Linked DNA regions of Diceros bicornis minor. The protein of the gene in region 2 purifies or fractionates together with the protein of the main gene of each other region. This does not show direct contact. Links are inferred from orthologs where the notes say so. Each region holds a gene or a part of one and is shown on either strand. Other genes may lie near its edges.

Region 1 (3,915 bases), on a different chromosome or scaffold from region 2:
TAAGTCTAAGTACTTTGAAACATAAAACATGCTAAGCATCAGCACTTTTTTAAAGTGACAAAAACATCTTTCAATCTAAAGCCTTTTATCTGACTCTAGGGGGAAGTGGCAGCAGTCACTGGGGAAGTGGTATGAAATGGTGAGGCTACCTAATTTCTAATTCAACAAAAAGGTAAACTACCAATTGCTTATATGACTCAATTATTTTAATAATCCCTCATATCTTTTAGTACTCTGCAGTTTTCAAGGTAATTTTCACTCATGAGCTAATTTGGTTCTTATAAAAATCCTATGTTCTCAAGCCAGCCCTGATGGACTAGCATTTAACATTTGGCATGCTCCACTTCGGCGGCCCAGGTTCAGTTCCCAGGAGCAGAACCATACCACTTGTCTGTCAGTAGCCACGCTGCGGCGGTGGCTCACATGGAAGAACAAGAAGAACTTACAACTATACACAGCTGTGCACTGGGGCTTTGGGGGGGGGGTGGGGATAAAAAAAGGAGGGAGACTGGCAACAGATGTTAGCTTAGGGCAACTCTTCCCCTGCAAAAAAATATAAAAATATATAAAAAAATAAAAAAAATCCTACGTTCTCCAAAGAAGATATACAAATGGCCAGTAAGGACATGAAAAGATACTTAACATCAGTAATCATTAGGGAAATGGAAATTAAAACCACAATGAGATACCACTTTACACCCACTAAAATGTCTTTAATCAAAAAGATAATAACAAATGTTGATGGGGAGGTGGAGAAATTGGAACTCTTACACATTGCTGATGGGAATGTACAATGATGCAGCCACTTTGATAAATAGTTTGGCAGTTCCTCAAAATATTCACCATAAAGTTACCACATGACCCAATAATTCTACTCCTAGGTGTATAACCAAGAGAAATGAAAACACGTCCACACAACAACTTGTATGTGAATGTGTGTAACAGCATTATACACAAGAGCCGCAGGTGAAAACATCACCTGATGAAATGTGGTATATCCATACAATGGAATGTTATCCGGCAATAAAAAGGAATGAAGAACTGATAAACGCTATGATGTGGATGAATCTTGAAAATATTATACTAGGTGAAAGAAACCAGTCGTAAAAGACCACATATTGTATGATTCCATTTATATAAAATGTCCAGAAGAGGCAAATTTAGAGAGAGAGAAAGATGAGTGGTTGCCTAGGGCTGGGGGAATTGAGGGGTAAATACACAGTGATTGCTAATGGGTAGGGGTTTCTTTTTGGGGTAATGAAAATATTCTAAAATTGATTGTGGTGATGGTTGCATAATTTTGTGAACATACTAAAAACCACTGAATTGTACACTTTAAATAGGTGAACTGTATGGTACGTGGCTTATATCTCAATAACACTTAAAAGTGAGGGAAAAAAATCACACACACAAAAATACAAATACAAACAATAGTTATATTGAATGCTAATATTTTTACCTCGATATAATTATTTAATAAAATGTAATCTAGATAAAAAAAATCTTATGAAAAAGGCAAAACTATTTTTTCATTTCTATTTGACAAAAGAGGAAATAAAGCCTGGAAGAGTTTGTTAACTTATCAATAGACCCAAAGGTAAAAAACGTGGAGCTGAGACCTAAACCTAAGTTCTCCGAGTCTTTCACCTCTGGGCTTCCACCAGTCCACCAATTATGCATGTAACATTCTGAAACCTAGCCAGAAAGAAAGAAAACGTTGAGGGGCAGGATGCAAATAACGATGTTTGCGTTTTTCCAGAAAAACGTTTTTGGAAAATTCTCGCGGCAGCATTTATAATTTCTCATCATTCCTCATTTTTAAACTGACTTCCCTCAACTCGACAGAGCGCAGGGTATCCAGTCCTGGGGCAGGCCCAGGAAACATGGAAGGGAAATAATCCCAAGAAAGCACTTTTCCAGACCCTCCGGCTAAAGCAAAAACTTTTAAGCAGCTGCATATTTCTTCCTCCTCATGGAACTGCGTTCAACACCCACCAAGACTAAAGTGACTGCAATCATTCACGTTCCCAATGAGGCACACCCCCGCCGTCACTCAGAGCGCCCTGAGACCCAAAGGGAAGTGTCACCAAACCGCACGGAAATGCCGGGTCCAGGGCGGGGTCGGGGAGGGCGGGGGCAGCAAGCCTGACACTGGCCCCGGGCCGCGGAAGGAGGTTAAGGGGTTTGAGGTCACGCAAGGGGCAGGAGCCCCAAGGGGTCACCTGCCGGGCCCGCGGGCGCCGTAGGGACCTAGGGGAAGGAAGGGGGGCGGCCGCCCCGAAGGGACGTGACGAGGCTGGGCCGCACTCACGAAACGCTGGTAGAAGCGCACTAGCCGCGGCTTCCCGTGGTTGTTGAAAACCAGAATCGCCTGAATCATCTTTGCCCGCCACGCTTCTGTCAGCACTGGCTGCTTCCGGGGAGCATCTCCTTCCGCCACAACACGGACATTTCCGGTTGGTGCGCTGCTGAGAGTGGCCCGCGGAAACTTGCCCCGGCGCCCAGGGGCCCGACCGCGAAGGGTCCGGCCTCCCTGCATGCCTTGAAGAAGGCTCTGGGGTGGGCGGCGGGCTCTCGAGGGAGGGCTTGTGCGGACACCGAGGCTGGGGAGGGTCGTCACGCGGCCAGCGTCGGCTGCCCACCCAGGGCCTGGCCAGGGCGCGAACCTGGATCTGTGCTCTTCGCACAGACCGACCGCTTGCTGCAGAATCCCGAGTCCGGCGTAAAGCCGATCCAGGAGCAGAAACCCCTGAGAGCAGCCCCGCTCCCCGGGGAGGCGGCGGAGGCCTCGCGTCCCCACAGTCTGCACTGGACCCGCGGTCCCGCCTCCGCCTTAAAGCGCGCGGAACGCTCCGCCGTGGGCGGATGCCGGCTGCTTAGCAGTCCCCTGTTGGAGAACATTAAGTTCATTTTTATTTTTCAGTATTATATACAATGCTGCAGGGAATTATATAGATGTCCTCGTGCAAAAGGGCTGTTTCTCCGTGGTAGATAGTGCATAGTGGGAATTAAGGAATATTGAATGCAATTCCATTTAAAAGGTACCAGCGATCTCAAATTGGTAGTTTTTGTTTTTTCTTGTAATGACTTAGTGGGGGTGAGGTGAAACATGTCCCTATGCTGCAGATAAAGCTGCAAATCTATCCAGAGGACTGTTTGGCAATATGTATCAAAAGCCTTTGAAATGTATAGAACATTAGACCTAGCAATTCCAGTTTTAGAATTTATAATAAAATAATTGTGGATCTGTGAAAAGATTTAGCCTCAAGAAAGTACATCTCAGCAGTGTTATTACTGGGGAAAATGGGAAGCAAACTAATTATTCCAAAATGAGAAATTGGCTAAATGCATTGTTACACATGCATACGAGAAATATTAAAGTTATTAAAAATCGTGCTGTGAAAGGCTTATACCATAGTATAGGCAAATGTTCCATGACATATCTGTAAGTGAAAAGATTATACAAAGTATGTACAGGGACACCCCACTTTGTAAAAGATTGGAAGTAGATACACCAAAATATGGATAATAATTGTGTCTGATGGAATGGCATCATAGCGTTCAGCCCAGGCCCCTGGAACCACACTGCCCTGATTCAAATCCTGGCTCTGTTCACCACCCGGGCACCTTAAGCAAGTGTCTTCATCTGTGAAACAGGCATAACATCAGTTTCCTTTACTGTAAAACTGTTTTTTTTTTGAAAAAAAAAGATTCTACTTGCCTCAGTTATAAACAAAAGGAATTAATATTTGTAAGCGCTTGGAGCAATGCACAGCATATCACTGAGTACTACATAAGTGATTTAACATACATCTTTGGGTGGTGGAGTTATATATTATTCTTTTATAAAATAAATATATATTACTCATAGCCAGAGTTTTTTAATTTTAAAAAAGCCAAAGGCAATAAAAATGC
Region 2 (3,915 bases):
TAGGTCTGGTGCTTCAGAGAGAAGCCAAGTTGGAGATAGATTTGTGAGTAATCATGATTGTTTGTTAAGAGGAATTGTAACTACAAGAATAAAACTACAAAGAGAGAATGTGCATAGTAGAAGAGAGCCTATGGAAGGAACTCCAACATTTGAGTAGCAGCTGAGTCCATAAAGTGGGCCTAAAAATAAAAAAACTAAGAAGATGTGGCTGAAGAGGGATAAGAAACAAAGGGGGGAGGGTAACGGTTTGTAGTAACTAGAGTGTGTTACCAGAAGATTGGAGTAGTAAACATTTCAAATAGCACAAAGAGTTAAAGCTACAAGAAGAACTGAAAATGACTGTTGATTTAACAGTGTTTTTCAACTTTCTTTTCATTATTGCCTGCTAAGGGGACTTGTCAGACTTCCCTTCATTCACACCCCTCCTCCATAAAATTTTAATACCACCGAATATATATCTGTATATCTCTTTACATATTGTAAATATATCTGTGCTTTATACATAAAAATAGCATGATTTTTTTGCCTCACAACAAGCAATATTTGTCCCTACTGAGAATGTATGATTTAACACATAGAGGACATTGGTGATCTTAGTAAAAATAGTTTCAGTGGTAGTTCAGTACAATGATGGAAACAAGATATACTGCAGTGGGCTGAGAAAGTGGGAAAAACAGACATACGGAGAGTAGATGATATATTCAAGAACTCTAGCTGTGAAGGGGATGAAAAGACAGGAAAGTAAATGGGAGTGGTTCATAAAGGAAGAATATTTTTAAATACTGAAGGAAAGGTGTGAGTAAAGGGGGAAAGGCTAATGAGGAGGAGAGAGGGAATAAGTGAAAAAAAGAGGACCCTGAGAAGACAGAAAAGGATGGTATTGGGAGACTAAGTGAAAGGATTTGCCTTCCCTAAGAAGAAGGGACCCTTTTTCTTCTTTAAAGAAAAGGGGAGGTTTGTGTATTCGGTTGCAGGAAGATGATGGCTCTATTATCTCTGTGTAATAGGAGAGAAGGACATTTGTAGAGGGAGAGAGAATTCCTTTTCTCTACAAATATCATTTGCTACTCATAAATTGAGATATTATAGAGCTACTTAAAAACATCTGGTCTGCAGGGAACTCCAATAGTATATTATGTTGAATGTTTAGAAATATTGTAAAAATCCTAACATTCAGCAAGAAAAGTTAATCTTATTGTAAAGAGAGCTTTCCTACTAAAGATATGTAAATTTCAGGTACTTCTTCACTCACTTCATTCCTCCACTTTTCCCATGGTCTCAACTGAAAGTGTCCTCCTTTCTTTCCAAAACCAATCCACTTGTAATTTTGATCCCATTCCCTTCCCTTTTTTCCTAGGTCTTATCTCTCTTGAATCTTTAATCTTATACATTGGTTACTTGTTTTCTGCACCAAAACATAATGTGCCTTGTATTCTTTAGAAAAACAAATCCCAAACCTTTTAGAGACCTTGCCACCCTCAAAACTCTTTTGCTTCATGCTCCAAATGAAGAAGGATTAAGTCTACACTTGCAGCCTCTCCTCTCAGTAATCTACTCTATTTAAAGCAGCTCTCTCAAGTGGCCCAATGACTTCCTAATCATCGAATCCAACGACCCATTTTCAGACTTCAACTTCCTCCTTTGACCCTTGCAGCATTTCACATAACTGATAACTTTCCCCCAAACAAAACGAACACTTCTTACTCTATTATGTGAAACTTCACCTGATTTGGTCCTCACCTTGAAAATTTCTTTCCGGCTTACTTTCCAGGCTTTTTTTTTTTTTTCTTTTTAATCTTTCTACCATCTCCACTTAAACCACGGTTTCAAACTTGATATATCCCAATTTTATAGTGGCACCACTTTCTTAACCTGTAGGCTATAAGCTTCAGCTTCAACCCAAATCCACCAAATCCAGCAAGCCACATCGCTCATCACTTTTCCATACTCACTGCCACCTCCTCAGTTTAGATTTCCGTCACCTCTCTTCTAAGAACTGCAACACCCTCTTCACTGTATTCCCCACCCCAGGCTCATCCAGGCGCCACCCTCTAACAGGACGTCCGCTCAGGTCAGTCAGAGGTTTTGTCCTCCACAGCAAAAGCCTGGGGCTGAGGTCCGAGTCGTCAGTACTCCAGCTCATTGTGGGTGACAAGACTTTTTCCCGAGCCAGAGCACGGAGAGGGACCCCAAAGAGCTTGAACCTCTTGGGCCTGGGGCCGGAGAACCCTGGGCTCCAGGTGCACCGCTCCCTTCCGGCCCTCCTGGCAAGGAAGCCCGGAAGGCCGGGAGGGAGGAGCGGTCCCGGCCCACAGCACCAGAGATACTCCTGCAGCCCAGCCTGGGATCCGGAGCCACAGCTACTCAGCTTACTCCCCAGTTTTCGAGCTGTCCCCTGTCCGCAGACTCCCCTCCCCTCACACTCACCCCAACACCTGGGCCTGTCAGTGATTCGGCGCCGGGTCCTTTCCGGACGGAGGCTGAGGAAGCTTCGAGGGCCGTGAGGACCCCGCAGGTGGAGTGCCCAGTAGATTGCCTTACTGACAGCTTCAAAGAAACCACCTCGTTCCACAGTCTTGAAAAGATTAAACAAGCGGGAAGACGGTGAATGAGAAGAAAGATGTCTCTTGATGTTTAAGATCTAAATCTTCTAGATCACCCAGAATCTAGAAGAATGGGCGATTTCTGACCATATGGACTCAGGCGCTCATGCGCAGCCTAACTCAGTCTGGGGTCCCCCTACTGTCCGGTGGGCGGGGTCAGGAGGGCTATGTTTTAGCCAATTGGTGCAACCGACGGGTAGAGCCAATGGCTGTGGGTGGGGGAGGCACGGACTTAGAGGAGTCGGGAGGGGCGGGGTTCGGAGGAAAGGAGGCGGTGATGCGAGGAGGGGGCGGGGCCAGAGAGTCGAAGGGGTGGGGCGTGGGCTGGAGCTTAAGTAGGGTGGGAGCGCGAAGATGGCAGCGGCTGAGGAGGAGCGGAAGCCCAAGAAGCTAAAGGTGGAGGCGCCGCGAGCGCTGAGGTGAGGGCTACCCGACGTAGGGTGGAGGGCGACGGCGTCTGCCGCTAACCAGGGCCCACGTGGGGTTGCGCGGCTCCGGCACTGGGTGGTGCCTTCGCTGCGGGCATGGGGCCAACACGGAGGACCGGCTGCTCGGGGAGCTGCCCGCAAGGCTGCGACCCCTCAAGCGGTGCCCGCCCAGTTTGGCCGAATCGCCGCTGCTCTGGAGCGACTCCGGCCGCCTTTGGCCAATCAGAACGCCAGCCGAGGGGTGGGGGTGGGAAGGCCGAGCCAGCTGTGGCCAGGCTGCGGGCGCCACGTGGGAGCCCTCCCTGTCGGTACTGTGACCCCCAGAGGAGGAGATTGGACCAGAGCAGTCATACGCGGCCGCCTCCTCTTCGCTGGGGGTTAACGAGGAGGAGGCCCAGCTGCTGCTCTACGCTGAGGCAAAGAAAGAATTATCGGGGATTTTTCGTCAAGTGTCCCAAGAGGACGATTTGACCTTTCTTTTCGTTCACACTCTGAAAGTTGGCACCTTTGAAGACCCTCTATCAGGGACATACACCCGGCCTCCGAGGCTTTACCGGGGCCGTCTTTGGCTGAATGGATAGGAAAGGTTGATTTTTCTTTCCACGTTTTGGCAGCAATGGGGACAGTTCTGCCCCTAACACCTGCCTCACATGTGCTTGATGATGCAACTTTTACTTGTAAAAAGTTGTTTGCTAAAATATTCCTTCCTAATAAGTATAACATGCAGCGCGCACAGTCCTTGATTTTGAAATGTTCGTTGGGAGGCAGTGGTTTTTTAATCTAAAAATAGACATATCAAATTGATTTAAAACTATTAGGACACTCCTGATTATAAAAGAGAAATCTTGTTTCTTCCAACATTACCCTTTTTTTCCTCCAAAAGA

The links.
Region 1: the proteins of AP3M1 (region 2) and AP3S2 purify together in Homo sapiens (co-immunoprecipitation; 3 studies listed by BioGRID and IntAct, counting the BioPlex papers as one, with this or other methods). This does not show direct contact. The link is inferred for Diceros bicornis minor from reciprocal best matches to the Homo sapiens genes AP3M1 and AP3S2.

The regions. Positions count from the first base shown.
Region 1 is NC_080744.1:93,556,999-93,560,913, forward strand, and holds the start of AP3S2 (AP-3 complex subunit sigma-2), read right to left. Parts: upstream 2,420-3,915; 5' UTR 2,381-2,419; coding exon 2,312-2,380; intron 1-2,311. UniProt on the Homo sapiens protein: Part of the AP-3 complex, an adaptor-related complex which is not clathrin-associated. The complex is associated with the Golgi region as well as more peripheral structures.
Region 2 is NC_080745.1:32,592,546-32,596,460, reverse strand, and holds the start of AP3M1 (AP-3 complex subunit mu-1), read right to left. Parts: upstream 2,701-3,915; 5' UTR 2,428-2,700; intron 2,271-2,427; exon of another isoform or gene 1,741-2,270; intron 1-1,740. Other genes in the region: ADK (adenosine kinase), read left to right, coding at 2,958-3,022. UniProt on the Homo sapiens protein: Part of the AP-3 complex, an adaptor-related complex which is not clathrin-associated. The complex is associated with the Golgi region as well as more peripheral structures.